Linked DNA regions of Pelodiscus sinensis. The protein of the gene in region 1 interacts with the protein of each later gene in a pairwise test. Links are inferred from orthologs where the notes say so. Each region holds a gene or a part of one and is shown on either strand. Other genes may lie near its edges.

Region 1 (8,566 bases):
TCAAATTGCCAATTTTAGTCCTTTCAAATCTTCAAATTATTTCAGGTAAAGCCTTCAAATAAATGATTTTTGCTAACTTTAGGCTAAATCAAGCCTGACTTGAATATACCTAGATATTTTCTAGCCGCTTTCCTGATGCCAAGAATTCCATATAGAATGAGTCTGTCTTGTGGCTTATATGCTAGGGTGTGAAAGGTCAACTAGGCCCAGTGCTTCACAGGCAGGGGCTGCTCCAGGCATCCAGTGCAGCCCCTGTCCAAGTGGCCTGTGCACATCACAGGCAAGGGCTGCTCCATGCCTCCAATTAAATGAGATTTTACATCCAGCAGTGAAAGTAACTTAAAATTTCTTATAGGTACTGTCCTATTGCAACCCGGGTCTCTGTCAGCTCTTTAAATAGCTCCCTGCTGGCTTTTGCAACAGCTCAGCCAGCTCTTGCCAGAGCTGTGCACCAGGGTGCACTCGCTTACTTTTACCTCTGTTTACATCCCTAATATAAACATCAAGTTGCATGAATCCTAACATTTCACTTGCTTTCAATAAAACATTAACTAGCAAGAATAGCATAGCTGAAAAAAGATACTAGCCTTTACTCCTTTTCATACACTTTTCTGCCTAATTTATTCATGCTGTCCATCATGCCTTCAAAACCATCCCTAATACTACCCTCTCATTTAAGTTGCACTTAAAAATCTCACGTCTCCTACAATGTCTTCAATAAATAAGTCAATTATTTTCATTGGTTTTAGTGTGACCTGCTTTATTTCTCTATTAAAAAAACGAGGTTTACAGGAGCGGTCGACAAAGGCTTCCCTTGTCGACCGATCCGCGTCTTGACTCACACGCTATGCCGACGATCAGCTGAGCCAGCACAACACGGCAGCCATTTTTATTTTAATGAAGCCAGGCTATTTAAATCCTGGCTTCATTGACTATGTCAGGTAGTCTAATTTACATGCTTCTGGCAAGAGAGGCATGTAGTCTAGACATACCCTATGATATATACAGCAGGGTTTAAATAAACCAAAGGAAGTTTTTCTTCACTCAGCTCATAGTCAACCTGTGGAACTCCTTACCAGAGGATGCGGTGAAGGTCTCTGCCCCAGCCTGATGAAAGTGAGTGAGGATGGGCAAGAAAGGGAGGATGGAGTGAGCAGGGGTGGGGCCTTGGAGAAAGGGTAGGAAGGAAGTGGGGAAGGATATTTATATGAGAGGTAGATCTTGGATTGCACTTAAATTCAAAAAGTAATCTTGTGCTTAAAAAGGTTAGAGACCACTGCCTTACAGTGACACAGCAGAACCACTGCCCTATCCTGGTGGAAGAGAGCTCTCCTGCCAACATACCACTGGCCACACAGTCTACACCAGTGGTCCCCAACATGGTGCCCACGGGCGCCATGGCACCCGCCAGGCCATTTCTGTGTGCCCACCGAGTGATCGGGGCCAGCCCTGCCCCCGGGCATGTGGTGCATGGGCAGTGCCAGCCCCTGGGCGCGCAGCGTATGGGTGGCCCAACCCTGGCTGAATGGCGCATGGGCGGTGCCGGCCCCGGGGTACGTGGCACATGGGTGGCCCCGCCGCCGGGAGCGTAGTACATGGGCTGAACGGGCCCCGGGCGCGTGGCGTATGAGCATCCCTGCCCCCGGGCATATAGCACAGGAGTGGCGCCGGCCCCAGGCGTACAGTGCATGGGCGTTGCTGGCTCCAGGGCGTGCAGCCCAGGAGCGGCGCTGGCCACAGGAGTGAGGCGCATGGGTGGCACCGGCACTGGGCATTCAGCATATGGGCGTCCCCGCCCCATGGCACGCAGCGCAGTGGCGGCGCCGGCCCCAGGCGCGCAGCGCTTGGGTGATGCCAGCTCCTGGGCGTGAGGCACAGGAGCGGCGCCGGCCCCAGGAGTGCAGCGCATGGGTGGCACCGGCACTGGGCATGCAGCATATGGGAGGCCCCGCCCCTGGGAGCGTGCGCAGCCGCAGCCCCGCCCCCAGGTGCGTGTGCGGCTCCGCCCTCGGGTGCCCAGCGCGAGTGGCCCCTCCCCCGGGCACCCAGCAACCCCAAAAGGTTGGGAACCACTGGTCTACACTTTTGTCAGTGAAACTTGCCTATGTCTGTCTGGATTGTTTGGGGGGGGGGGTCAGGGGGATTCCACACCCCTGACCAACAAAAGATTTGCAAGCTTCAGAGGGGTAGCCAAGTTAGTCTGTATGGGATAAACTTAAAAAACAACAAATAGTCTGGTAGCACTTTAAAGACTAACAAAACATGTAAATGGTATCATGAGCTTTGGTAGGCACAGTCCACTTCTTCAGATGACTGGAGTGTTAGATGTCCAGAACCAAAAATAAATAGAGGGGGGGGAAATGGGTATATAAATATCAAAGGGAAAGCGGAGCTGTATGTAACAGGCAAAACTGATAATCTATAAGCACCTAAAGACTGGATAGTTACGTGGGAGTGTAGACAAAGCCTTAATGTGCAACCCGGGGAGAGGAGGCTGCCTGCTCAGGAGGGAAGCGCTGGGCATTTCAAAGCCAAAGGGAACTATGGAAAAAGCAAAACCAGGCGTGTGCCTGGACAGAGCAGCTGGTCCAAGGGGCTCAGCCAGCGAGAGGGGCTTCCCCAGAGGCGCTGCACAGCTCACGGGACTTAACGTGTTGGGGGACTGACAGCCCAGCGCCCTCGCTGCCTCCTCGCCCACGTCCCCTGGCGCTGCGCTCAGCCCCTCCCGTTACACACCCAGCTCTGCATCCTCCCCCCCCCCCCAGACACCCCCAGGGCGGAGGCGCCACAAGCCCCCGACAGACCGCGGGCCGCAGCTTCGGCGCCGTTACACAGGCCCAGCCTGCGCTGCTGCAGCCCCCGGTGTCGCGCCCACCTCCGGGTCCCCAGCGGGTCCCCCCCCGACCCCTCCCCCACAGGGTCAGATACCGGGGCGAAGCCAAGCTGCGCCCCCTACCCGGCCACAGGCCGCGCGCTGGGATCTGTAGTCCGCGCCCGCCCGCGCCGCGGCCGGCCGTCACCGCGGGCGTGAGCCCAAGAACTACATCGCCCATCCTGCTTCGCGGCAGAGGCTCCGCAGCTCTCTCCGGCCACAGAACGTTCAATGGCCAGCGCCTCTCGCGCCGCGGTCCCTGTCGGGGTTTGTGTCGCGTCCCCGCCCCAGCAGCCGCGATGGGCGCCGCGTAGTCAGGCCCTGCCCTTACCTGTTGGAGCGCTGCCCTTGCTGCGTGTCCGCGAGCAACTCCGTTAGCCCGTGGCGTGCGCGCGCCGGCGGCTCGTTGCCATGGAGGCGAAGGGCGACGCCCGGCCGTGGTGCCCGGGTATCCCACCGCTCCGCCCTCCTGCCCCGCCCAGCGAGAGGCTGGGGGCGGCGCGGCCTCTCCCGGGGGGAGCCCAGGCCCCTTTCCCGCCGCGCCCGGGGGCAGAGCGACCCGCCCGCCGGCCCCACCTCCACCCGCTGCGACCCAGCCCCACAGACAGCCCCGCCCCCCACGACCCCGGAGCAGGGGGAGTTGCCCGCTGCCCCCCCCCCGCCCAGCCAGGAGCCAGAGGCTGAAATGGTCATTTGGGCCCGTCTGATCAGACACTCCCTGCCCTGGTCCTCCCTGCGGCCCATCTGTGCGCCACCCTCCCGCCCAGCCACACGCCGCCTGCCCCCCCCCGCCCAGCCCGCACACGCCGCCTGCCCCCCCCCCGCCCAGCCCGCACACGCCGCCTGCCCCCCCAACCCCAGCCCGACACACCGCCTGCTCCTCAGCCCCCACGCCGCCTGCCCCCCAGTCCTAGCACCCACACGCCGCTTGCCCCCCCAGTCCCAACACCCACACGCCGCCTGCCCCCCAGTCCCAGCCCCCACACGCCGCCTGCTCCCTAGTCCCAGCCCCCACACGCCGCCTGCTCCTCAGCCCCCACACGCCACCTGCCCCCCAGCCCCAGCACCCAGATGCCGCGTGCCCCCCAGCACCCACACACAGCCTGCCCCCCCAGTCCCAACACCTGCACGCCACCTGCCCCCGAGCCCCAGCACCCACACGCCGCCTGCCCCCCAGCCGCCACACGCCGCCTGCCTCCCAACCCCAACACCCACTTGCCGCCTGGCCCCCAACCCGAGCACCCCCACGCTGCCTGCCCCCCAGTCCCAGCACCCCCACGCCGCCTACCCCCCAGTCCCAGCACCCACACGCCGCCTGCCCCCCAGTCCCAACACCAATACACCGCCTGCACCCCAGTCCCAGCACCCACACGCTGCCTGCCCCTCAACCCCAGCACCCACACACCACCTGCCCCCCCAACCACAGCACCCACACGCTGCCTGGCCCTCCCAGTCCCAACACCCACACACTGCCTGCCCCCCAACCCCAGCACCCACATGCCACCTGCCCCCCCCCAACCGCAGCACCCACACACTGCCTGGTCCCCCCAGTCCCAACACCCACACACTGCCTGCCCCCCAGTCCCAACACCCACATGCCATCTGGCCCCCCCAGTCCCAACACCAATACGCTGCCTGCCCCCCAAATCCCAGCACCCACACACTGCCTGTCCCCCCCCAAGTCCCCACACCAATATGCTGCCTGTCCCCCCCCCCAAATTCTAACACCTAATGCTGCCTAGTCCCACAAGTCCTAACAGCCACATGCTGCCTCCCCCCCAAACCTTCAACACCTACATACTGCCTGCCCCGCAAGCCCCAACACCCAACTCTGCCTGCCCCCCCAGTCCCAACACCCATATGCTGCTTCCCCCCATATCCCAACACCTACACACTGCCTGCCCCCCAAATCCCAACACCTAATGCTGCCTGCCCCCAAAGTCCCAACACCCACATGCTGCCTGCCCCCAAATCCCAACACCTACACACTGCCTGCCTCCCAAATCCCAACACTGCCTGCCCCCCAAGTCCCAACACTCACACACTGCCTGCTTCCCCCCAAGTCCCAACACCCACATGCTGCCTGCATCCCTCCCCATAATACTCCTGTCCCTTGTCCTCTCACATAGTGCCTACCCCTCACATTGCATCTGTCCCCTGTCCTCCCACATACCCATACGCTGTTTGTGAAACTGTGATGTGGAAGCTGGCACTCACCCACCAAACTTCCAACAGATGGGAATGATTAAAATAATTCCAGCCCTGCTGAGCTGGGCTAGAAACAAATTTGTGACACATACAGGAAAGGCTCTATATCTCATTAGCAATGCCTTCACACATCCAGTCTCTAATAAGTAAGGCTAAGATTATGTTATGGATTCAGTGACCTCCATGAGATCTACCTTTTCAGCTGTGGGTGGTGTGTATTTGTAGGCTGTGGGAGGCTCCCCAAACAGTACTGTGTGGCTCTGTCCACACCCCACCAGAAACTCCCTTCTGTTTGCCACTTTCTCCTTGGACCCAATCCAAGCATGCTGCTCCTTTCTGGAACTGCCAGCTTGTGGCCAGGACTTGGTGTGGCTGGGGCCTGGGAGTACTGGGACTGCTTGCCTTGTTCTGGGGAGTGAAACCTGACTAGGAAAGTAGGACTGCAGGAGGAAGAAAGCTCCAATTTAAAGGCTAGGTCAGTGGAAGAATTTTTCAATCAAGCTACTACTGTCTACCTGGGGACTTAGGTTGGCTTTACTATCTCTCACAGGAATGTGGATTTTTCACACCCCAAATGACATAGCTGGATCAATCTAATTATCTAGTGTAGATTAGCTTGTGGATACTAAGAGATTCACAAGTGAGATGGCTAGAAACAACCAAAAAAGGGTATAGATTGTTGGTTTTTGTTTGTTTATTTCAGTAAGGGCAATAGAACAGACAATAGTATTCTGTGACCAAGCAAGAATCATATTCCAAGAGGCAGTACTTTGAGCAGCAGCACATAGTTCAAGAAATAAATACCAAAGTAATTGAGATTTTCACTGGAGGAAAAAAGATAAGGTATGTGCAAGGTATGTGCAAATACAGCTCTCAATGAAACAGCCATGAAGTTGGATTTGGCGATGTTGGAGATGGCAAACGTGGAGAAGGAATGTGATTTAATATAATAACACTTATACTGGGTCAGATCAAAGGTCCATCTGGCTCAGTATCCTGGCTTCAACAGCAGCTAATGCTATATGCTTCAAAGGGAATGAACAGAACAGGTAATCATCAAGTGATTGATCCCATCTCCTGTTCCCAGCTTCTAGTAAATACCAGCCATGGGCAGCCAAAGAGAAATGGACAATGCAAAAAGAGACCCACCGAGATCACTGGAGTTAGAGTGGCAAAAATGGGAAGCAGAGAAAGCAACAGACCAGGAAAGAGAGCTGGAAAGGCAGTTCAAGATCAAAAGGCTAAAATTAGGAAGTCAGGTCCCTTGTACCAGCAATTCTACACTCTTTCTGCTGTTAGAGATCTAAATGTAAAATCCAACCCACAGGGACATCCTGAAGTCCAATGACACTCATAGAGGTGTTGAGCATATAAAAAGTTGAATAAACTATCCTCAGCATTGTGTGTAGCTTTATTGGCCATGACATACGCTATATGTATTATATTCTTCATCAACTAAGTCATCCAAGTATAATTCATCCTATATTATCAATATATGATATTACATAAAGACAGGACTATGCAGCACTTTTAAGCATAGTCCTGTCTTTTGTTTCAGCAAGACCAGACTAACACGGCTACATCTCTATTACTATTGATATTACATAACATAGCCTAAGAATTTATCCCATGGATGTCATCTGCAGCATGTGTAATTGCATCTAGGGCATGTCCACACAGCAGGGCTAAACTTGAAATAAGCTCTGCAACTTGAGCTATGCCAATTGCGTAGCTTAAGTTGAAATAGCTTATTTAGAGTTTTGGCGCTGTCTACGCAGCAGTTATTTTGAGATAGAGCACTCTTCCCCTGACTTCCCTTACTCCTTGTACAATGAGGGTTACAGGAGTCTGAGGCTAGGTCTACACTATGGGGGGGGAGTTGGAAAAAGTTACTACAAATTGCGCTCCGCAATTTGCATAGCTTTTTCTGATCGCTTCTCCAGAAGAGGCTTTTCTGCCATTTGGCCCAATCTAGACAGGACCAAATGGCAGAAAAGCCTCCTCTTTTGGCAGAGCCCTTATCCCTCGTAGAACGAGGAATATAGGGCTCCCCAAAAGAGTGTGTTTGGTGTGCCACAAAAAAAAGTGGAAGAGCAAACGCGTTCCTTGGACGCGGTGGAGTTTTTCCAGGATACTCAGAAAACCCCTGCAGTGTAGATGTACCCTGAGTAAGCAGTCATATTGAAATAACTGCTTGTGTGTAGATGTGGATTATGTTATTTTGGAATAACATCAGTTATTTTGAAATAACACTGATGTATACACGTAGCCCTAGAGTATATAGCAGAGATTGTAGTCTTGTATTCAGGGATAACTCTCAAGAGACAATTTATCCCCAACTGGTATTTAAAAAATGAATTTGTAATGTGTGTTTTGACAACAGATTACATGTACATACAGTGTGACACAGAGCTGTAATGTAAACTGGATTTCTAAATATCCCCAGGAAAAAGGACCATTTTAGACACAGTTATTGGTTAATATTTATGGTGAAAAGTGTCTTTCCTATTTGAAGTTTCATTGAGATTCTGAACATACTCATTTCTTGGAAGTGATGCTTGAATAAATCAGCCACCATGGTTCTCCAAGCAGTAAATATAAAAATACAGCCATATTTTTATACACTCTGCACTATGCTACAAGACTATGTAAGATAACCTTATAAATCCATCCACTGAAAAAAAGACAGTCTTTACAGGATTGTGCTTAAAATATTAATAGAACACTTTTTTCATAGATAAGTATCACATAAGAGAGAGAGAGAGAGAGAGAGAGAACATGTATATAAAAACACCCCTTTCCTGAGACCTCAGAATGGTTTTACCTCTATAAAGAGAGAGAAAAAAGGTAGTTAGCTCTACTGAATAGTTACAGTACAAATAATTTTGCACAGCATCCTTCATCTGAAATCTCACAAAATGATTTACAGAGAAAAGCAGTGTTGCTGATTCCAGGTGTGCTCCTTTGGCAGGGCACTGTTGCCCTTGTCAGGGCCCACTCAGTGTGCCCTTTCCTCATCTCGGGATGGTTCTTTGATTTGGAATTTTGATTGAGTCCAGAAGTGTGCCTCAGTCCCTTGGGTGTGTTCAGGGAGGCAGTCTGGGGGCAGGCCCATATGCAGGAATTTCTGTGTGGGAGAGGGGAGTGTAAACTGTGGGAGGAGCTGGTAGCTGCCTCACCCCCCCCAGTCTCTCTCCTGGGGGAGAATCAGCCCCAGATTTCCCCCAGAACAGCCAGAACATGGGGGAGGGAGATTGCAGCAGCATACCAACTCTGTCTTTTCCAGACCAATCAGAATTGGCCCCATGGTGGACACCTTTGCACCTCCTCTATGTGCAGGCCTGAAGAGTGTCATCCCATCGCTGTTCCACTCCCAGACCTTTTTGCCTCCCTTCCTTGTTTGTACTTTCTCTTTTATAGCAGGCTTTGTGTCCCCTGTAGAGCACAATTTGAGTGGGGTCAAGCTTTTTGTTAAGGTGATATACC
Region 2 (7,708 bases), on another chromosome or scaffold:
TAAATACTGGAATAAATTGCCTAGGGGGTTGTGGAATCTCCATCACTGGAGCTATTTAAGAGCAGGTTAGACAGACACCTGTCAGGGATGATCTAGACAGTGCTTGGTCCTGCAGTGAGGGCAGGGGACTGGACTCAATGACCTCTTGAAATCCCTTCCAGTTCTGAGTCTATGAGTTACCCACTTAAGATCCTTAATTTTCACTCATGGGTCTTTTTGTTTATACTAAGTTAGGATATGTTTGTCCAGTGTATTGGACATTCTTCATTGTATCAGAAATGGACATCGTTCATAGGAAAACTAATATAATCCTAAATCCATAGGAAAGTAACTAATTCTTAAATATGTTGGACTCCTCCCCTTGTAGTCACTCTTACCATTGCTCACTGCATTGCTATGCTCTCTGTAAGGAGCTCTTTCTACTTGAGAAGAAGCTCTTGCAAGAGCCCTCTAAATTTAGATCTGTGGCTAGGCTACGCATCCTTGCCATTTCCTATTAATTATTTGTGTCCTGTCTTCTATGGGGATGTTAATTATTTAATATAGTAACTGGTTAAACATTAGGAATAAATGGTTAGTCTCGGAGCAGCCCCTGTGCCCCGCCAGTTAATCGGATACCCATAAGCATCGCCCAGTAAGGATGATGTTAAGCAGTTAACTCTTTTCATCTCTAGTCCTCTACAAGCCATCCCTTTGATCAACAAGTAATTTATACAGTTGCCACAATTCCTGGCATGGCACCCCCGAAGTCACCAACGCAGCTTCTCTGACCAAGGGTGTGGAAATTAGGGTTTAGATCTAGGCTGGGCAAGATGTGGCCCAAGGACGAGATCGAGCGCACCTAACACTTGGATCCCACCCACAGACTGCATCTGGTCACTTTCTATTTCTATTCTGCTGCCCAGCTGTGGCTCAGGTATCAGGATTCTATTTAAATGGCTCCCGGTCACAGAACCAGACCGGCAGGGGCTGAAGCCATGAGCCTTTTAAATAGATGTAGCAACTCTAGGCAGCTGCCAGGCCACACAGCAACAGCAGGGCCAGGAGCCACGAGTCCTTTGCAGTATTTTTACTTCAAAGCCTTCAGCCCCAGACAAATCTGGTGGTAGGCTAGTCCCCAGCCCCGCCCGTTCTGCCCCAGGTAGGGATGTTAAATTGTGTTTAATCAATTCATCGATGGAAATTCCATCGACTAGTCAATTACTTGATGGGGGAGTGACTAGTAGAGTCACTATTCAACTATTTGATAAGCTTATGCTTATTGTATAGTTGATTAGTCACTTACATCTCTACCGCAGACCCCATGGTCAATACCAAAATTCATTAAGTGATCAGCCTATGAAAACGATTGCCTACCTCGGGTTTAGAGCCAGGTAGATCTTAGATACAGTCATGCATTTTACTCAGAAAACCATGCATAGCCTATAAAATGCTAAACCCCTACAAAAAATTTTCAAGTAAGGCTATATCTAAGCTATAGAGAAGAAGATCAATGCTGCTTGAAGACCTGCTAAATGGGCTGCCCTACTGCATACCTTAAGAAGGCCTTTGGCTGTAGTGTAAACCTGGGCTTAGATAGTGTATTGGCATCTTTGAGATATTATTCAGGGCATTACTAGCAAAAGTGAAGACACAGATTTAACAGATTTTTAAAATTTTTTACACATTGATAACTCTGTAGTAACTGAGACTACTAATTTTCATCTGTGTTACAGATAATTGAGTAAAAATATAAACAGATGCACGTCTCACTGGCTCTCCTGCAAATATGATTACTATAAACTACAATTCTCAAATACAAATTTAGAAATTCAAGCTAATGCTCATTTTACCAATTCCATAACATTATTTGTACACAGACCCATCAACAACACTGTAGATCAATTTTATTTACACTGGGGATACAACTATCTTGAATAGAATAATTCTGCTAGTGGCTTTTATCTGTTCTATTTGTTCCTTTGAACAAAGAATACTAGCAAATTACAAATTTTATTTGCGATTTTATTAAATTTTCTTCAGAACACCCAGAGTGGCATCTATTTACTCCGCTTAAGGCAGAGAGCTTAGGAGGAATGGAAAGAGGGGAAGGTGCTTAGAGGGGAAATTTATATATAACCAAGAAAGGACTGTAACTATTTTAAAATACATATAGATTTGATGTCTGTCTGTATCTGTGCGAGTTTCTTCATATGGTTGATGGACCATATATAGATTTGAGGCAGTTCTAAAAAGTGTAATATACATCACAATGAAAAAAGTTATTTTTGCAAAATAAAAATATAGTTCCAAAGTCTTAAAAAATGTCAACTATTATAAGTTATATCATTTGTATTTTCTCTAACTTTGTTTGGACAGCAGGAATTAAATCTAAATATACTGAATGACGCTAATGCAAGTCATGTATTTTACTCAGAAAACCAAAACTCCCTTAGCAAAGCAATACAGTCTCCAGAGCCCTGAAGTGTGTTTTTTCCTCCCAGCGGTGAAAGTAACTTAAAGCTTCTTATAGATACTGTCCCATCGCAATCCGGGTCTCTACAACTCTTTAAATAGCTCCCTGCTGGTTTTTGCCGCTGGAGCTGCACACCAGGGCACACCCGCTTACTTTCACCTCTATTTTCCCCCAGGAATAAGACACCAATTTCACTCACTAAACAGAGTAAATAAGGGCAAATCGCAGGATATGCGTTCCAGCCGCCCTGGTAGCTCCTACACCTTCACGGATCTCGTTTTAAACTGCGGCTCATCTCATCACCCTGCTAGGAAAGGACACTCTGCCCAATCTCGCGCCTCTGGGGGGCGGACACTGTCCCAGGTAAAACGAAGGAGCCGTGTCACTAATGGCACGTGTAACGTCTCCCGGCAGGGGGCCGCCCAGAAAGCGGGCGCACGTAGGGGCTGCACAGGCGAGCAGCAGACGGTGGCGGAGACAAGAGGCGCCGGGCGGCTGTCGGGTCAGCCCACGCCCCGGCACACACCGAGCTGCGAGGCCTGTGACAACACTCAGAGACGTGCCAGGAGAGTATCCCCGCCCCAGCGGCACCTGTCCAGCCGGAAGAGACGCGGCGGGAGAGACCCTGCCTGTCAGCCCCTCCCTCCAGGGACCATGCCTGGCACCAGCCACGGCCTAACGCCGCAGAGGCGCCAGTGCAACCCCGGTTGAGCCCTGCCAGCGACCCCGGCTGAGCTGCGGGCCGGGCGCTCGGGACGCCTCCCTTGCGGAGCCAGGCGCCCGCGCTGCCCGGCCCAGGGAGCGGCCCCGGGCTCAGCCCCAAGGGAGGAAGGGCCGTGGCCGAGAGCGGGCCCGAGAACCCAGCCGCCCCACTCACCCGCTGCTCATGGTACCGCGCTGCTGCGGGCCAAGCCGAGCCGAGGAGGCGGCGCTGATCCGTGGCAGTCCTAGCGCCGGGGCCCACTCCGCGGAGCCTGCGCCATTCAAACTGCGGCGCGCTGCATGCCGGGCCGGAGAGAGCCGGGGCGGGACCGCGCCCCTCCCCGCCGCCGCGTCCCCTAGGGGCGGCCGCGGGAACTGCACGCGCCAGACCCCTGGCTCTGGCCGCCTCAACCTCTCCCCGCGCATCCTCATCACCGCCCCGGACAGCCCGCTGGCCCTCACTGCCCTGCCTGGCCCCAGCCCCTCCGTTGGCATCATTGCCCCCCCCCCTCAGATTTGACGAACCCATCCTCAGCTCTCCCTCAGGCTCCCTTCTGCCCTACCCCACCCAAGGTTCAGCAGCTGTGCCCCCGCTTCAGTGTCACCCTCAACACTCCCTCCCGCTGGTGCCCTGACTTCTGCCCCTGAGTCACAGCCTCAGCAGTTCCTCATCTACCCCTCAAAGTCCCACCATCCCCACAATATACCTTCATCTGTCTCCCTCTCCCCTCTTCCAATGACCCTCAAAGCATTTCAGTGCTAACTGAATCCCTTTAAGCAACATCAGCCCCACAAGCCCCTCAGTCTCATTCCCCTCCCCCCGAACCCACTTTCAGGGAATTTCCCTGCCCCCAAATACCCAACCTCAGCCTCCTCACTTCCACACTTCTCTCAGGCCATTGTGCTGTCTCAACAACTCCTCCCCCCCCCCCCCCAGTCCCACCATCCCATGACTTCTCAGATAGCGTCACTCCCTTCCTTTTGCCCAACTCATCTGATGAAGTGGGTTTTGCCCAGGAAAGCTCATGATCCCGTATATTTGTTGATTTCTTAGGTGCCACAAGACTACCCCCTTCCTTTGTCTCACTGCCACCACAAACACTCCTTTGCCAGTCTCAACCACCCCTCCAGCCCAGTGTCTCACTCCCCTCAATTGTTCCACTATGACGTCCCCTTAGATCACCTCATTGGCCCTCAAATTATAGTGGTTTCTATTTTTTTAGGTTTAAAATGACTTTTTGTTGGAAATTAGCATTATTACAAAAAGTTTGTGTTTCTTTTACTTTTTTGATTTTTCAATAAAATGAATATAAACATTTTTCATTTTTAATAGAAAATGTTTGTTCCTTATTAATTCTCTCTTCCTGCTTACTGATCTGGAGGGATTGGAGGGGGAAAGTAATTGAGTTGTTTCATCAAATCACTGAAAGATTTTGAAAGAAATGAAAAATTTTAGTTTCAGTGATTTTTTTTTGTTGAAAATACTTGTCATTTTCTGACCAACCCTTCTTATATTCTCACTGTAGACATAATTCTTTCAGCTAGCCATGTCACTTCAGCACCTTCTCAGGCAGTTTCTTCTTCTCTTCACGGACTCCATTAGTTTCATTTGTGTGAAATCCTGACCCCATTGAAGACAATGTCAGTTTTGCCATTAACTTCATTTGGGCCAAGCTTTCATCCTTTGTCCCCACAATCTTTGTTAACCTACACGCTCAGCTTCCTCCATGTTCTGCTGACTTTAGGGGTGGTTAAAGTAGATTTTTGTATTTCCCCTTGACAACAGTAGTGCTAAATCTGACCTTGCATGATCAACTTTGGGATCGTTCAGACACAGTTTTGGTAAAGTCGATGTTGTTGAACTCCAGGATGTGTCCCACTGTGACTGCTCTGGCCAGTACTTTCAACTCTACTACTCTCCCAGTACAGAGGAAAAGCCCCAGGAAATTTTGCATTTCATTTCCTGTTTTGCCACATGGCAAGCTCAGCAACACACCTCAGCAGCATACCTGACCATGAATGCCAGAGTCATAAATGAGCTCCAGAATGAAGCATGCAGGAAATCCTGTATCTGATTGCTGCACGAGGAGAGGAATTTTTGCAGGCAGAATTCCAAAGCAGCAGAAGAAACATTGATATCCAGTCTCACTGACAGCCAGGAGGCCAATCTCCTCCCGGGATGTATTGCTGTGGGACCCTGATGGTGGGGAGGGCACTTCTGGTCAATTCACTTTTGTAATCAAGTTACAGTGGGTAAATGTAATTGGATTTTTCTGTTTGCTCTGTCCTGAGAGGTATAGTGGCAGCCACTCTGCCTACACAGCATGGGCTCTCTGGTAAAGTTTGTAAACATATCTGGAGATGAAGCGGGAATCCTCCCTGTACATCTTAGCAACGCTCTCATAGAAGTACTCTTTAATTCTTCTCACAAGGTTTCTGGGAAGGCCTGCCTTATTCCGTTCTCCACAGTAGGCCATCTTTCCACACCAAGCTAGGAGTAAGTGATCTGGCATCATTGCAGCACAAAGCATAGCAGAATAAGATACAGATTTCTGAGCACATTCAGTCAGCATCCACTTTCTGTCATACTCTCTGATTTGGAGAAGACTGATATCACGCATGGCAACCTGGATGAAAAAGTGGAAGTTCTGTAATTGATAGCACTGAGGCAAACTGCCTCCTTTTGCTCATCTCTGGAAAATCATGACCCCAGACTTGCAGCCATCATTGTAAAGGGCTTGAAGGGATTATCCTGAAGAACAGGTTCACTCCACCTCTCCTTATGCAGGTCACTGTGGGAAGGGAGAATTGCAGTCTGCAGGTATAACAGAGGAGTGCGTGGGGAAAACACATGCTGAATGTACGAGCCTCTAAAAACCCGCCTGGTTCACCCACTTGCAGGGTTCCTCATGAATGTGGCCCCTCTTGCAAATGCAAATGCTTAGATAGCAATGAGGGCTGTAGTTTGCAAACACTGTCACACATATTTTAAAAGCATAATCAAAAGAGTAAGAATCTCAATATGCTGCTTACTATCCCTGCCACCAAACCAAGTCCATTTGCTCCATTCTGAGCTGTGTCTTCTACCTGCCTGATAGATGTTTAAAATGATATATTTGGCTTTGTACATACTTTATTCATACTAAGAGTTAACCTTTTGTGTCTTACAATGTATCTTCTCTAAAGTTTACCCTTGACTTTTTTCACTCAAGGTAGCTGCAACGATGACTCTGTTACCCACTTCTCTAGATCCACCAATACATCCATTGTCACAGATCAGAAGGCGAAAGAAAAAAATGTACATGGGATGAAATGTTAAATGGGCAAGTTCAAAATCCATCCACACTGACAGAGCTCAACAGAATGCATGGAAGAGAACGATGTTACAGATCATAAACGTCGAACAGGAGGAGAGGAGAGCATACACGGAACATGAGCATAGGATGTGAGATGAGACGTTGAGGTTTGTGGGGGAGCAAACAGAGCTGATGAGGTGCCAGGTAGAGATGCAAGAAAAGCATATGGAGCAGTGTCCCCTCTGCACCCAATGATAAACCACCTGCCCTCTTCACCAAGTTCCATAGTCACCTCTCCTAGGTGCCCTGGAATGCAGGGTATGGGGTGAAGTCATGGGAAACCATTCATTCAACTCCCAGGGATGTCTCCTAGACCAGAAGGCTTTCATTCCCACAGCTTTGATTGCTATACAAGGGCATTGTAATTAGGGATGATCGATAGTTTGTAATTGAATAGTTGTGTAACCTCATCAAATTTTAAAGGTTACACGACTATTCCACAGTCTCCAGGGGTGGGGCCAGAATCCAATACACAACCAGTTGCACTGCTGTGGAGTTCCCTGCCACCCCTTGCTGCTGCCCATGTATCAGCCTCCCCTGCCCCATGCTGATCTGTGTCTTCTACCTGCCTGACAGGTGCTTAAAATGATAGATTTGGCCTTGTACATAATATATGCTTTTTGTGCAGCACAGTGCTTCATTCATTGTAAGAGTTAACCTTCTGGTCTGGACCCCATGGAGAGAGGCAGCAGTGTGGAAGGGCAGGTGGCTCCACAGGAGCCCATACGAACAGGCTGCTGTCTTGAAAACTGGCTTCTTGCATGTACTGGCTCCTGCCTGCCCCCCTCGCCTTCTGTGCTGCTGCCTTTTTATCAGAGGCAGAAGTATGGGGGTAGAGAGGTCCATGCTCATAAGGAGTGGGGAGGAGCAGAGTGAGTGAGTATAGTTGACAAAAGGCTTATCGGTTAATCATGTAGTTGTCTTCACGTTGACACCCCTAATTGTAATAAGCTTCTTGCCCTTGAGCTCTCCCCTGCCATCAGAGCTCATGCCTTGAACTCTTCTTCTGCCTCTGTTCACTGTGTTTCCTAAATAAAAATGGATGATTTCAGAATCAACAGAATCTTTTATTGTTTGTGTCAACTGCATTTTTACAGGAGGGAAATCTATGGGCCAGTACACATACAGCAGGGGGAACTCATGGGCAGCTTCCCAGACCACCAGGCTGGCCCTGCCCACACTCTGTTCCCAGAAT
Region 3 (7,840 bases), about 160 Mb from region 1:
GAGCCACTGATGACATCAGCAGATACCTGCATTTCACATGTATGGAGGTGCGGTGCAGGTAGTCCAGGCCTACTAGTGACACCTACTGAATTCTTGGACCAGTGCAGAGTCAGAGAGCTAGTAAGGAATATGGTCCCATGATCTGTACTCACCATGCATGCAGCCCCGCTGCTCATCTCACTCATACTTTAAACCCCAACGCTCTCATGCACTCCTTGTGAGCCTCAATAAGAGGCCCGCAGTGCTCCTCCCCTTTCTCAATGATGCTGTAATGCAAAAAGATTTCCATGGTTAGCTAGCAAAACCACGTAATACTCAGATTTGTAAGGCCAATGGACTCTTACACGTGAAGGTCCACAAAAAGTATCCATTTGCAACAGACTTTATAGTAAGCAGAGACTAAAATCTGAAATAATCTGATTTAATTTAAGGCTGTCCTTAAACTCAGATGGTTTGTTGTTTGACTTTCCCTGCCTGTTTTAAAATATGTAAAATAAATACAATTCAAAATGGCAGTAATTTCAAATTTGCTGTATAGTTTACACCAGGGAGAATTAACTGATATACTTCAAAGAGATTATCCTCATAGAGTTACTGCACACAGAAAGATAGCACATAGTAAAGACACAGACTGTCTTCCATCCTTCCCCATGAGAGTGACACCACTGGCTACCCTCAGTTAAGATGGCTGCCAGTCTTTTCAAGTGGAAGGGAGGCAGCCCGTAGTAAAATGGCTGCCAGCTAGGCTCTGTGGTCAGAGAATCTGGTCAGTACAAGGAGACGGGCAATGTTAACATTACAAGCACACTCATTAACCATTTTATTTTTGCTGCATTGCTGAAAACTCACTTGACACTAATGGTGGTTACTGCCAGAGCTGCACCTCCTTCCCCTCACCCTGGCAGTGGCTAGAGCTGGTGCTCTCCCCTCCTTCCCCCTCCAATGGATGGGGCTGGAGTTGGAGCGGGTCCTTCTCCCATTGCAGTGGCCAGGGTTGTCAAGCCTACCAACTCTCCCACCACCATCCCCTGGGCAGTCAGTCCCTCTCATGAATTTGTTTATTGCCCAGGAACTGTCTGTAACTTTTACTAAAAATAACTGTGACAAAAATCTTAACCTTTGCTATGTGACTTTAATTAGGCCCATAAAGTGCTAAGAAGTGACAAGTGTAAGACAGGAAGCTTGCACTGTTACAGAGCTTGCTTTGATATCCCAACACTACCATTTTCCCACAGAGAGGTAAAGAGTATTTCCCACAACTGCTCTCCCACTCATGATCCTGAGAAAAGTTAGTATTGCTTATGTTATATCAGACAGTGTTAGGCTTAGAAAACGGGATTCAGAGCACAAAATAGCACATAAAGTATACTGCAGAATAATATATAAGTTCTGCTGAAGGTAAACTTTTTATCCTATCTAACGTTAACACTGGATTCTCTTATTATCTACATAAGTGCTTTTTCAAATCCTAAGAATTTACCATGAAGGATATCTAGTAGAAGTTAACACCATTAGATAGTTATTGGTTGTGTAAAATAGCCTAGTTTTAAAGTGTCCAATGTAAAAGAGTATCTGACCTTTCCTTTGAGGAAGTATTTCATGGCCTGCCATGCCCCACACTCAGGAAGTTAGTCTGATGTTTAGCCTTCACTGTACTATTTTAATTTTTAACTACACTAGGGGGCTGTGCCCCCTGCTTGCTACCCTCACCAACCCCTTCTTTCTGGGAATAGGTGTGTGGCCAGGGAGAGGATGCAAGAGCAGGCTGGGGGTAAGTGTCTGGCCAGGGGGGCGGCGACAGGAGTAGGCTGGGAGTGCAGGGTCTCGACCAAGGGGGTATGTGGAGTCTCAGCAGAGTGTGTGTGTGTGATGGGGCTAGCGGCCCCCACGAGGGGGGAGGGCATGTGGCCCCTAGCTCCGGCCCACTGGAGTACCAGGGAGGGAGGAAAGAAGCAAGGTGGCAGAGGGAGGGGCTATGGGATGCAAAGTGATGTGATGACATCACTCTGTTGTCCCACAGGAAAGGGTTTTTTGTACACAGAGAGATAAGACAAAAAGTCAAGTAATGTATATGAATATGTATCACCCTAAATAATTCCCATGCCTACTGTGGGGTTTACATTTTGTAATTGTAGATAGCAATTCATTACTTAAGAGCCACTGTGCACTTGCTGATTCACTAACTTGCATACAGTCCCAGCCCCAAAGGAGCAGTCAGCACCATGTGACCTGCAAGCTTTGCATGGAACATGAACCTACTGCACTACAGCATTTTCACTTGGAAGTTAATCGTGTAGTTAACTGCACATTGACAAACAGCCTGCTCTTATCGGTTAATCCTACTGACTAGAAGCATTCCCCCCCCCCTTTTGCTGCCTTCTATCAGAGGTTGCAAAGCCGGAGCAGAGGACAGAAGTGGTGCCCATGCGGCGACAGCTTTTAAGTCAGCTCTCTGAGCTGCCTGCTTCCCCTCCCCCCTGCTGCCTCTGATAGAGAGGCAGCAGCACGGATAGCTAGAGGGGCAGGCGGAAGCCAGTACATGTGGGGAGCCAGGTGCTGGATCTGCAAAGCCACCTGCTCCCCCCCCCCCCGCCTTGCTGCGAGCAAGGGAGGCAAGAGCCAGTGCTCGGGGGGATTTTGAGGGGGGGAGGGGTCATCTGTCCACCGGGAACCAGCTCGGGACTGGGGCGACACTTTAAACCCAGGCGGGCCTGGATGGGTCGGTGCGCGTGTGGCCCCAGGGGAAGCCTCGCGCCCCGCTGAGGCACAACCCGAAAGGGGCCCCCGCTGACACCGCCCCGGGCCGGCACTTCCCGCCGAGCCGGGCCCAGCTGCGTCGCTCCCGGGCTGCAGCGAAGGCGGCCGAGCAGCCCGGTGCGGTCGGGGCCGGGGGCAGAGCGAAGCGCCGCGGCGGGGGAGGGGAAATGGCGGCGCCCGCCCCGCCCCGCTCACCAGGCATCTCGCGCCTTCTTGGTGTCGGGGCAGGCGCAGCAGGGCTTCAGCGGCTTCTTCTCCGGCGGCGCCGGGCCCGGGGGCTCGCAGCTGGCGGACGCCAGGCTCGACATTTCCGGCGGCAGCGGCCCAGGCTCCCTGCGGACACAAGGGGCTGGTCAGAGCCGCCCGGCTGCCCCCACCCGAGGGGGGGGGGTCTCGGCACAAACCCCCCCACCCCTCCCTTTCCCACATGCGCAACCCTCGCATGGTCCTACCGGGGCTCGCGCACGGATCGCCAAATGCGCACGCGCCCTCCAGGGCCGGGGCTGCGAGCGGCAAGACCTGACTGCGCCTGCGCGCCCCGCTCGGGGCAACGCCGGGAAATGGAGTTCTTCTACCGAGCCACGCGCCCCTCCCCCCCCCCCCGCCATTGCCCGACTCCTGCCGCCCCTCCCCCCTATTGCCGGCTTCCCTCTTCTAGCCCCGCCCCGTGCCTGTTGCCGGCGGGAGCCGCGGGGCGGGGCTGCTGGCCCCGAGGAGAGGCGCTTCCCCGTGTTCGTTAGCGCGGCCGCCCTGGGGCGCGAGCAGCGGCGGGTCGCACTGCGGGTGGCGCCCCCGGCTCACATGGCCTTGCAACTCCCGCCCCCCAGCACTAGCAGTGTCTGCCCCACAGGCACTTTGGAGCCAAATCTGCAACGGGACAGCGAGTTCCCCTCCAAAAACCTTTACAGGCGAATATCCTATGTATGGGGGCAGCCCTAGACTAGCTGCCAGCAACTGGCGCCCTAGGCGAACCATGCAATCGGCACCCCCACCTCCAAACCCCTGGATGATACTGCACCACCATTTGGCGCCCCATTTAACTTGGCACCCTAAGCGACCGCCTAGTTCACCTATATGGATGGGCTGCCCCTGCCTATGTAACGCATCACAGAGGAGATCCCCTTTCTTAGTGCCCTTCCTCTCACAGCACCCTGGCTCAAAGCAAGCCCATTCTTTCTTGAGGGATTTACTTCTTATTCCACCCCAAAGCTCATGGGAAATGCCAAGGATGAGGACTAGATAACCAATCCTTAGTTGCTACCGCAATGATTAGGTGGGGCAAAAGCATTTTCCTTAGCTCCCCATGCTTCTACCAAGGAGAAGAAAAAAGTTTGATCCTCTTCCCCAGGCCCCCAGCTTCTCCCTTTTATCAGGTTGAATGGATCAGGGTGTCCCACTCACAGTGCAAGTGATTAAGATCTTGGTTGGTGTTAATGCAGTTCCTTAGAATGCAGATCTTTTAATCTTATCCTGACCTGAAAGCGGCGTGAGGAAATTCTTACTCGTTTTGCCAACAATCCATAGAGCAGATTCAACTATCCAGTGCCAAGGACCACAACCTAATATTCCTGCTTGTCTGTTACTTTGTGGGTGCAATCAAATTTATCGGGTCTTTACGCTTCTGTATTGTGAGTCTAGATGGCTGGGGAGGACTGGCTAAAAGATGAACCAGTTATCTAAATATACAAAAGTTTTTTCTGCTATGCAACAGAATGATGTCATCAACCTACTTAAAAGTGGAGTCTTAGTGTCATGCTTACCTGTGCTTCCACCAGTACCAACTGCAAAACTGAGATCTGTCTGTAGATCCATCTGTAACATGTAGTATGTGAGCAATAGACCAATTAACAGTTTTTTTCTAAACCGCTTTTCTAAATAGTCAGTGCGAGATTAACAGGCTCTCTGGCTGCTTAGAGGGGGGTTGGTAAGCATAGCAAAAATGGGGCCCAGCCCACTAGTATATCTGGTCACCAGAATCTGTGTTTGCCATACATATGTAGATACAACACAGGTGGAACTAGGAATGAAATGCCTAAAGACATTTCTTTTGCCTAGTGTCAGAGATGTTCCCCACTCTGGCACTCTGAATGCAGAAGGCGGGGGCCTGCAAGAGACATTAAATACCTTATTTCTATAGACTCTTCTTATAAAAACTCCCCAGTGTCACAAATTCACTGACTTTGGGAGGTAGCTGTTACCATCAAGTGATTTAATCCCTAAAAAAAACAGAAAAAAACACTTGAAATTCTTCCCAAGGGATACCCCAAGTGAGCTTGAAAAAGAAACAACAACAAACCCCACAGTAAACAAACTGTGTCTCTGATAGGGAACTCTCAGGCTAGGCAGGCACACATAAGAGACCTCCAGGACACAAGAATCAAATCATCACCTTAAAAGTGATTTTATTAACAAAAGAAAAAAGATACTTGATAAAGCATACTTGTTTGCTAGGTGCTACAGAGCAACTGAGGAAAGAACAGATTAAAACACAGAGAAAAATGGTATCTCTGGGCTGTAGCTTAAATATGGTGAGTGAGGGAGGGAAGGCGTGGATTCACACAGAGAAGTTTAACCAAACAACCAAAACAAAGGAACATTCCCAGATTATGACTAAATATACATTTTCTCCTTATTTACTCACGATCCCTTCATGATCCAGTTCACCTCTATGGCATGAGTTCCTTGGAGGCATGGTAGTCCTGCCTGGTTTAAATCATTCTCTTTCTCCCAATTCCTGGCTTAAAATTCACATAGAGAGAAACGGCTGCAGGTATATATTTACAATTTAAATTTCAGCTCTGTATCACATTGGTTCTTCTGGCTCCCTGCCAACAACAGCCTTAGTAACCTAGGTTTAACCCTTTAGTTACCAAGTGCTGGCCATCACACCTACTTTAAAAGATTCTATATATCATTCACTACTAGATAAAGAAGATTCAAAAGAGCAGTTTGGACCATGCTGCAGATGTTAAGCTCATGGCTCTTTGATACAGAGAGGACTGAAAGCTGCTCTAAAACAGTTGCTGGGTTGGGTGTTACCCTGGCATGGAGGATTCCTCAGGTGATATGAAGCTAGTGCAGCCACCACTACCCTAAAACTCAGGGCCCATTCTTTATATCACCTTTTTCTGAAACAGGAGCTCTTGCACAAGAGGGCAGTGTGGATGCGTGGCAGGGATTTCTTGCGCAAGAAAGCCCTATGGCTAGAATGGCCATCAGAGTTTTCTTGCGCAAGAGAGCGTCTACACTGCCATGGGCACTCTTGCGCAAAAGCACAGCTCGCACATGGCAGTGTGGACGTTTTCTTGCACAAGAACCTTTGTGCAAGATGTTCTTGCGCAAGAAGCTGCGAGTGTAGACATAGTGTATGTGTGTAGGGGGTTGTTATTTCTTTTACTGTTTGAAAAGTGTGTTACTTTGGGATTTTGACTGGTCTGTGCATTTAATCATTTTCATTTCTCTCTTATGGTTAAATTTAATTATTTGAGGAGTGAATTCTAAAATGCCTAACCTCTCACGGCTGGAGTAATTATCCCTATGGTAATTGCTACTCCTGGAAGTGGCTGGCATGTCCCTGCAGCCCCTGAGAAAGGCAGAGCAGGGGGTCTCCACAGGCTGTCCTTGCCTGTAGACACTGCTCCAGCAGCTCCCATTGATCAATAACGGGGAACCGTGGCAAGTAGAAGCTGTGGGCTCAGTGCCTGTAGATGAGGGGCAATACATGGTGCTATGGAGCCATTGTTGTACATGCCAGCTACTTTTCAGAGTGGTGCAGGGCCAGGGCAGGAATAAACCTGTCTGAACCCCACTGCTCCACTACCCGGAAGCTGTCTCTGTTAAATGGTGCCCAGCCAGAGCCTTCATCCTGAGCCCCTGTCCCAGCCCTGAACCTCCTCCTACATCCAACCTCCTGCCCCAGACATGAGTCTCCCTGTACCCAAACTCTTTCCCAGAGCTTGCACCCTGAAACCCCTCCTGAACCCCAATCCTCCACCCTGGGCTAAACCCGGAGCCCCTCCCACACGCCAAACCTCTTGGCCCAAGAGCAGAGCCTGCACCCCAACCCCCTACCTCATCCTGGTGAAAGTGAGTGAGGATGGGAGAAGGGGGATGCAGTGAGCAGGGTGAGGTCTCGGAGAAGGTGTGGAGCAGGGGCAGGGACTCAAAGAAGGGGTGAGAAGGAAGCAGGGAAAGGGTATTTGGGTTTGAGGTAGATCTTACATTGCACTTAAATTGAAAAAGTGATCTTGTGGCTAAAAAGGTTGGAGACCACTGCAGTAATGTAAATCATTGCCTGTCTTTTCTGTAATGGCAGATGAATGACCTTCAGGAATATATGTCATACTGAAAGCTACCAAAGGATTTGCGCCAATGGATTTTCACTTACTGTGATATCCAGTACCAGGGAAGGTGGTACAATGAAGAGGAAATCCTCAATGAGATGTCAGAACCTCTGAAAGAAGTATGAGACAGAGCCTGCCTCATAGCTCTTGGGGAATGTCTACACTTGGAGCTGGGGATACCTACACTAGCTTGATCAGAGCTACGTGCAAAAATAGAGTGTAGCTGCAGTGGCAGAAGGCGCTAATCATTCTGAGTTACATGCCTAGCATTTTGGACAAGTGTGTACTGGTGCAGCTGGCCTCTTCTGCGATGATGACTACACTCTGTTTCTAACATGTTAGGTCAATCAGAGCATGGGGACATAGCCATACTCTTAGGCTACATCTACACTACGAGTTTTCTCAGCAAAAATGCTAATGAGAGACTAATTTGCATGAGTCACAATCTCATTTGCATATTTTCTGCCAATCAGTTTTTGTGCAAAAATAAGCAGTGTGGACATTTTCTTTTAGCGCAAAAACCCCTTTTTCCGCAAGATTACAATCTTGAGGAAAAAGGGGATTTTGCACTAAAAGAAAATGTCCACACTGCTTGTTTTTGCGATCTTGCGGAAAAAAAGGGGTTTTGCGGTAGAGGAAAACATCTACACTGCTTGGTTTTGTGCAAAAACGGATCCGCAGAAAATATGCAAATGAGATTGTGACTCATGCAAATGAGTCCCTCATTACCATGTTTTTGC
Region 4 (7,742 bases), on another chromosome or scaffold:
ATATATAAATCATAGGAAGTAATTGTCCCCCTCTACTTGGTACTCTAGGTAAGGCCTCATCAGTACCATGTCCAGTTCTGGGAGCCATATTGTAGGGAGGATAGGCCTGTCAACAGAGGGGACCAAAGAGGGCAGCTGCCCAGACCCTTTGATTGCTGCCAGAACCCTGGGTGGCACAGTCTGAGGGTATGTCTAGACTACATGGCTCCGTCGACAGAGCCATGTAGATGAGGTTTCTAGACATAGGGAAATAAAGCAGTGATTTAAATAATCGCTGCTTCATTTACATCAAAATGGCTGCCACGCTGTGCCGATCAGCTGTTTGGTGGCACAGTGCAGTAGTCTGGACGCTCCGTGGTCGACAAGTGAAGCCCTTGTCTCGGAAGCCCTTGTCGACCACTCCATTATGCCTCGTGGAATGAGTAGTGATTCCCTTGTTGACCGCGGAGCGTCCAGACTACCACGCTGTGCCGCCAAACAGCTGATTGGCACAGCGCAGCAGCCATTTTTATGTAAATGAAGCGGCCATTATTTAAATCGCCGCTTCATTTCCCTTTTTCGAGTACACTAATCTACATGACTCCGTCGACAGAGCCATGTAGTCTAGACGTACCCTGAGTGGGGTTGAAGGGCTGGCGAAAAGAAGGCTAGCCCCTGCCCCAGCCCCACCTCTTCCACGAGCACAGAGTTCCACTCCCACACCTGGTCCATAGGCTTGACAAGTCTGTTGGGGCCCCTGAGGAAGGACGTTGGTAGATTGAAGAGCAACACAAATGCTAAAAGATTTAAATACCTGAACTATGAGGGAAGATTTAAGAAATGAGGCATATTTAATCCTGAAAAAAGATGTCCAAGGGGAAACCTGTTATTTGCCTTTATTACAGTAAGGACTTTTATAAAGAGAAGAATGATCTACTAATTGTTGTCTATGTCCCCTGAGGGTAGAACAAGAAGCAAGGGACGCTGTCCCCTGCAAGGGAGATTTAGGTTAGCTATTAGGAAATCTTTATAACTATAAGGATACTGCAAAAGCGGCGAGGAGTCCTGTGGCACCTTATAGACTAATTTCAGTTAGTCTATAAGAGAGAATTCAGTTAGTCTATAAGGTGCCACAGGACTCCTCGCCGCTTTTGCAGATTCAGACTAACATGGCTACCCCTCTGATATAAGGATACTTTAACTCTGGAACAGGCTTCTAAGAAAGATTGTGAAATCACCATCCTTAGGGGTTGTTATGAACAGACTTGACAAACTCTTGTCAGATCTGTTCTAGATATACAGTGAAATTCCAATTGTCCGGCATCCAGTGGTCCGGCACCAACTGGAACCCGGAAGTGCTCCGACAGCTGTTTCAAGAAGTTGTTAGTCAATTACAGTACCTCCGGATGGATCCGCAGGTGACAGGCTCACAATTTATCTTTCCTCAACTGCCTCCGGTGGGGGCGGAGGGAGGGCGGAGGCTCGGTGGGGAACGGCGTGGCAAGGGGCAAACCCTCCGCTGTTTTGCAGGGAGGTAAAGCCTGTAAACAGCGGCGGCAGCAGCGAGGGGGCGAGAGGCAGGCAGCTGTTTCAAGAAGTTGTTAGTCAATTACAGCACCGCCGGGTGGATCTGCAGGTATTTGGTTATGCCTCAATGCTAGGGATACAAAATTCCATTTAATTGATTAACTGATTAAACATGTTGTTTAACCAATTAATGGATAAAAGGAGACTGTGGGAGGGGGTCACTCCAGGGTCGTACTGGCTGGAGTGGTCCCCCACCTACCGCTGGGCTGGAGCAGTCCCTTGCCTGTACTGCAGGGCATCCTGCAGGCAGGAATTTTCTGGCCACCCCTGCCTGGGGCAGGCCCACCTGCAGGGCTGAAACAGGTGGGGAGCTCCTCCAGCCTCCACCAGTTAACCTTAAACAGCAAAACTTTCATATCCCTGCTCAGTGCAGCCCTCCTCTTCTGTCATTCACATTAAACACTTTCAAACAGATTAGTTTTTGCCTTCTAAGTATCTAATATTTAATGAGACTGTCGGACGAGAAGTTTAGCTATTGCAACTTGCTGCCATAGGCAGGTGAAACAGCCTTGCCATTTCTTTAGAATTTGTTTCTAAAACATACTATGAGAAACTTTTTGGGGAAAGTAATATGTGCTTTCCTGGATGTCTGTTAAGCTATCCAACAAAAAAATTTTTATCATGCAACTAAGAGACCATAAAATGGAATAGAATAGAAACACAAATAAAGATAATTTTAAAGACTCCTCATCAATTTTTCTCCCACGATTCTCTCACCGCTGAAGATTAAGCAATCTTTGGAAAACAGGGACCACGTTCTCTTTTTGTACACTGGACTTCTCAGAAGAAGAGAAACAAAACATGCACGACCAGTTTGAGTTTCAGAGAGAAACAAACATTCAAGCCTGTTTACAGCTCAAGCATTTTTCTGCGAGCACCACCAACCAAGAACCTTTCCTTCTCCTAGGGTTGTATTTTCATGTGGCTGGTTGGTTTTCTTGCTGCCTCTGAATCTCTGCCAGTTCATTTTTTGCCTTCCCAGCTACTTGGTCAGAAAAACAGTACATAGTAGAACCACCTGCCCATATGGCCATATTTTCTCAGAAAATTCCATTTTGCATTTTATGTAGGCCTCTTTAATTTTGCCTTGTAGCAATCTTAAGCGAAGGACATGTTCACATACCAAATTCAACAAGGTTTTAACTCCACCCAGGTATTAAAGGAACTTACATTTCTTACAGGTACTGTCCTATAGCATGCCGGTTCCCTGCCAGCTCTTTAAATAGCTCTCTGCTGGCTTTTGCCACAGCTTAGCCAGTTCTTGCTGGAGCTGTGCACTAGCGTGCACCCCCCTTACTTTCACCTCTGACTCCACCCATAACAAGGTATATCCCATTTTACAACTGTAATAATATTTCCAATCCTAAATATTCATACTCATGAGTCAGAACCTCCAAATCATTTGTTTTTTAAATCCTGATTTATTACTACATGTCCCCAGAAAAGGGGACCAAAGCCTGAGCCCACCTGAGTCATACTGCCCTGGGCAGGTGGGGCAAAACCCAAGAGTTTCAGCCCCAAGGGGTGGAGGGAGCCTGTAACCTGAGTCCTACTACCCAAGGCTGAAACACTCAAACTTTGGCCCCAGGCAGTGGGACTTGGGTTTGGGTCCAAGGCCCAGCAAGTACTCGAACCTCTTTAATCTGGCAACTCTGGGAAATAGGGTATGCTGGATTAAAGATTTTGCTGGGCCAGAGAGGACACTGCGGGATCTGGACGTGAGGGGATGAGAATAGGGTGCTTACCTGCTGCCCTACTCCCAGGGGCACATGAAGCTCCATACTCCTCACCGCTTTTAGGCACCACCCCTTGCCATTATGGGAACAGAGGGCAGAAGCATCAGGGTAAGTGGCCCAGCATGCTGCTGTTCCCTCAACGGGTGGGAGACGATGTGGCAGTTCACAGAGCCAGTTTCTCCTCTGTACCATAGATGTTCCTGGATGACGGACACCCAGAATACAGAGGTTCAAGTGTATAACATCTGTCCTGGTGACCCCGTTAAAAGGGGGTCATGATTCACTTGGGGGGTCCCAACCCATATTCTGAGAACCGCAGACATAGGCATGAGTTATATGGATCCGTGCTGCCCAGACACCAGAAAGATTCCTGGTCACGGGTCAGGCTCCACTAAATTCAGAGCTGAATTTTTCGCAAGGCCCTGCCTGCAACCTCTCTCACATCCTCCTGGCCCATTTGCCACCCCCAGACAATTTAAAACTGCCCAGGAGCTCCTGCCATTAACACTGTCAGTGTAGTGGGGCTAGTGCTCATTCTATACAGTTGCCGGCATGTGTGTGTGGCCCCAGGGGTGGATGAGAGTTTTGCGGGGCCCAGGGCAGCACAATTTCTCCAGGCCCCCCTTTGGAGAAAAAAATGGAAAAAAGGCGTCAAATGCACAAATTGAAGGCTATTTTCATATTAAATGTGAATTGGGTAAATTTGATAGAAAATTAATTTAGTTGGATAATTTTTATTCTAATTATATTGTAATTCATTTTTAAACAAAATTCTGCATTAATAAAAAAAGAGGGGGATGTCCAAATGTTGAGCAAAAAAAGTCACCCCCCGCCACAAAAAAAAAATCATGGCACCTTTAAATCTCACACTCTCCACCCCATTCATGGCAGAGCAAGAATGTCCCAACTGGCTTTCCAGTTGAGAAAAACTGAAAATACCGGACATTTTACTGGTCCGGTATTTTCTGGGGGTTTACCACCTGATAGAAGCCACAAATACTGGACTGTCAGGGCCAATACCAGACACCGGGCAACCCTAGTCATAACTCGCGCCTGCATTTACAATAGGCCAAGGACATAAGTTGGGGGATTTTGGCCTCTTCCCCACTTCGGAAAAAGGTCATAATGGTGGTGGCAGGGGGAGGATCGTAAAGCGGGCTGTTATAAAGCAGGGGCCTCTGTATTTGTGGCAGGAGTGGGAAACCTCTCTTGGGTTAGGGGACACTGACTCTACAGAAAAATCAGCTGGGGATCACACAAACGGGCTGGGGACCAGCAGGCCTGGAGCGGATCTGGCCAGGGGTTTGGACTGTGCCCCAAGGCAGGGGATTGGGGTGCAGGGTCTGGGAGGAGGGTTATGTGGGTGAAGACGTGGGAGTGGCTGGGGGGGCCAGACACCTACCTAAAAGTGCTGCTCGCCCATTTCTCCCACAGGAGCTACCTGGCCATGTGCTCAGGGATTAAAAGCCTGAGGGGAGCAGTGATTGGTGGGTTCCCGCAGCTGCCATTGTCCAGGTCCAGCCAATGGGCTTGTGCGGGGGGGTGGAAGCAGCCCTGAGCGACCCTCCCCTGCTGGTTCACAGCTCCTGCACCACAAAGGGCCCCGCCGCGCTGTTCTGTTCTGTTTTGCGTGGGGGTGGGGCTGTTGCTGCCTTGCGGCCAGACCCGACCAGCATGGGGCTTGCGCGGGCTGCCTGTTGCAGTGGGGGCAGGGCTTGAGCTTCCAAAGCGCCACGTTGGGCTCCCTCGCGGGCCCCAGGCTGCCGATCCTGCTCTAAGCAGGGAGGATGAGAGGTTAAAAACACCGGCGCCAGCGCGGGGCCTATTAAAGCACGGGGCCTGGGGCAGCCGCCCCGCTCGCTCTGCCCTATATGTGCCGCTGTGTGGCCCTGTGTGGCCCCTGGGTGGGGGGGAGGGAGGAGGAGAGAGATGTAGCAGCGCACAGATCATGGAGCAACACACCTTCCCCTTCCTTGGCCAGAGTCTGCACACAACATCCATACTTCTTCCTGGAGGTTGCACCTCTTATCCCTGCCTGCACCCACATCCCCTACTGCACCAAACTCCCTCCCATAGCCTGAATTCCTACCCCTTGCCCCAGCCCAGAGCTAGCACCCAAGCAAGATAAAGGAGTTGACAACTCTATTATATAAATACATAGTAGGAAGCATACTCTATCCTGAATTGTTTAGAAACCAGTCAGACACAGAGGAGTTGGAAGCACAGGAATACACATGCATGGAAAGGTAAAGTGATTTGTCCAAAGCCACAAAGTAGGTCAGTGGCTGAGCCAGAAATAAAACTCAGGCATCCTGATTCCTCATCCTTGCCCTCTCTCCGCCCAACCCTTGCTATAACCCTGGGGATAGAGAAGGGAGAAGCACTGAAACTAGGTTTACGTTACTCGTAATTTCTCTGGCCCAACACCAAGGCAATTATGACCCAGTCCAACTCCAGCCCACGGGCAGATCTGTGCGCATTGCCTGCTGGGAGTTGTAGGCTTAATCAGACTACAAATCCCAGTGAACCTCGCAGCAGAGAGTGGCCGCCCAGCCCGATTCCCCGCCTCTTTGTCATTGTCATTGGTTTCAAGTTATGTCTCTGAAACGCGATTGGCTAAGGAGGCTTGTCTGTCAACAAGCGGGCACAGGAGGGGTTGGGATTTTACAGTTAGGCGAGGGGTGGGCGTGGTCGTTGAAGGATGGCGGGGAGGAGGAGAAGGCGGGCGGAGCCCCGGGCACAAGGGGGCGGGGCCTGTGTAGCTCGCTCTGGCTCCTGCGCTGGGTCTATCCGGCGCCGAGCTACCCCTGCCCGAGCGCCCTGCAGTCCCCGGGACGCGACTGTCGCGCTGCCCGCGCCTTGCCCTGGAAGCGGGAGCCGGGAGCCGCCCGCACCCCGAAGCCGAGCCGCCTGCGCCGGGACGTGGGAATCTCCCCGGCTGTGCGGCGATTGCAAACACGCCGCCCTGCCCCGCTTCCCTCCCCGTCGCTGCCGCCGCCGGACCCCGCGGGAAGAGGGGCCGACCAGGCTCCAGCCCGAACAAAGCTTCATACCCCCCTCGCCTGCCGGCTGCCGGCCCGCGCTGTCATGGTGTGGGGAGGCCGGGCCCCCCGTGCCCAGAACCGCGTCTGTCCGGAGAGGCGAGGCGCGTGGCGGCTCTAACGGCGAGAACTTCGACACCCGCGGGGGACGCCCGCGGGCTGGGGGTGCCCTCCATGGGCTGGGCCCGGGCTTTATTGTTCATCTCCAACCGCTGTTGCTGCTCCTGCACCACGAGGCAAAGTTGGTGAAGGTTGGGGCGCCCTGGAGCCGAGGGAGGATGGAGGAGAGAGAGGGCGAGGTGAGGTGGGATGGGTTGTGCAGCAGGGATGCCAGCACCAGAGATGCTGCCTTGGAAAACATCCGGCAGGCTGTTTTGAGGAGAACAGCCCAGGTCTCACCTGTAAAAGAGGATCTTCCTCCTGGGCCATCGGAAGGATGCTTGGCTTCTGCTACAGTTCCGGACAGATTGAATGAGATGCTGGCTCGCCTCCTCATGCTTTCCCAGAGATGCCCCTTTAGAAACGTCAGGGAGAAGAGTGAGTCTATTCTAAGCAGTGTTCAGGTAAGAGTCCCGGTGCCTCTTCCAACAAACAGCCCTCCTATTTCTTATCTCTGAAGCAGCTTAGAGTACCTCATATTTTTAATAGGCGTTATCTTGATGTAGAAAACAGTATAAAGATATAGTGCCTCTTCAGCTGTATCACAGGAAAGCTTTCGTTTTTGAACTGTACTCTCTAGAGTCTAGACTGTATTGTGGTGTTCAGTTCAGACTGATCACGTTAATATTAAACTGGCAGTAGAGCTAGTTTCTGAAGAACTTTATATAATTTGTCCTGAGACATAACTAACCAAAATACTGGCAAAGTTTATCTGTCAGAGGAGTGCATAACATCGATAAGGAAGTAATCTGCTTATAAAGAAGTAAGTGGTGTCCTCAGACATAATCAGCTCCCTTTGCAAGTGAATTCCTGTGCAAATTTTCACAATGAAATATGGGTTTATTGTTGGGGCACAAGTACATTCAGGAGAGCATATGCCCAAATTGTTATTTTAATATAATTGTCAGGTGTTACTAGGGTTGTGACTAAGTCAGTCTTATTAGTATAAAATCAAGACAGATTGTGTTGTCTGAGGCCAGAGACCCTGAAGAAAAAATGCAGCAAATGGTTCATGGATCCTGGCCCAGCCTATACTGCATTGCTTGGCAGCAGCACAGGGTTGCTGTGGCTATTTCAAGGGTTCACAGGTCTGGCCCCTGTCGGGGTAGCACCGCAGCCATAGTCATAGCAACCTCAGGTGGTTCCCAGGCAATGGGTAGCAGCGGGGCTGGGAGTTGCAAGACCTTTAAATTAGGTGTGTAATTGAGTAATATACGATTAACCACTAAGCCTAGGCTTA

What was found.
Region 2: the proteins of KATNAL1 (region 1) and KATNBL1 interact in binary tests that used the Homo sapiens proteins (3 or more experiments, as listed by UniProt). The two-hybrid records come from large-scale screens. The link is inferred for Pelodiscus sinensis from reciprocal best matches to the Homo sapiens genes KATNAL1 and KATNBL1.
Region 3: the proteins of KATNAL1 (region 1) and cytochrome c oxidase copper chaperone interact in binary tests that used the Homo sapiens proteins (3 or more experiments, as listed by UniProt). The two-hybrid records come from large-scale screens. The link is inferred for Pelodiscus sinensis from reciprocal best matches to the Homo sapiens genes KATNAL1 and COX17.
Region 4: the proteins of KATNAL1 (region 1) and CEP57L1 interact in binary tests that used the Homo sapiens proteins (3 or more experiments, as listed by UniProt). The two-hybrid records come from large-scale screens. The link is inferred for Pelodiscus sinensis from reciprocal best matches to the Homo sapiens genes KATNAL1 and CEP57L1.

Annotation. Positions count from the first base shown.
Region 1 is NC_134711.1:298,586,582-298,595,147, reverse strand, and holds the start of KATNAL1 (katanin p60 ATPase-containing subunit A-like 1), read right to left. Parts: upstream 3,477-8,566; 5' UTR 3,204-3,476; intron 3,104-3,203; exon of another isoform or gene 2,957-3,103; intron 1-2,956. UniProt on the Homo sapiens protein: Regulates microtubule dynamics in Sertoli cells, a process that is essential for spermiogenesis and male fertility. Severs microtubules in an ATP-dependent manner, promoting rapid reorganization of cellular microtubule arrays.
Region 2 is NC_134714.1:59,894,251-59,901,958, forward strand, and holds the start of KATNBL1 (KATNB1-like protein 1), read right to left. Parts: upstream 3,504-7,708; 5' UTR 3,333-3,503; intron 1-3,332.
Region 3 is NC_134711.1:143,106,525-143,114,364, reverse strand, and holds the start of cytochrome c oxidase copper chaperone, read right to left. Parts: upstream 3,363-7,840; 5' UTR 3,210-3,362; intron 3,175-3,209; exon of another isoform or gene 3,091-3,174; 5' UTR 3,066-3,090; coding exon 2,953-3,065; intron 267-2,952; coding exon 182-266; 3' UTR 153-181; intron 1-152.
Region 4 is NC_134713.1:77,741,358-77,749,099, reverse strand, and holds the start of CEP57L1 (centrosomal protein CEP57L1), read right to left. Parts: upstream 3,526-7,742; 5' UTR 3,495-3,525; coding exon 3,312-3,494; intron 1-3,311. Other genes in the region: SESN1 (sestrin-1), read left to right, coding at 6,622-6,906. UniProt on the Homo sapiens protein: Centrosomal protein which may be required for microtubule attachment to centrosomes.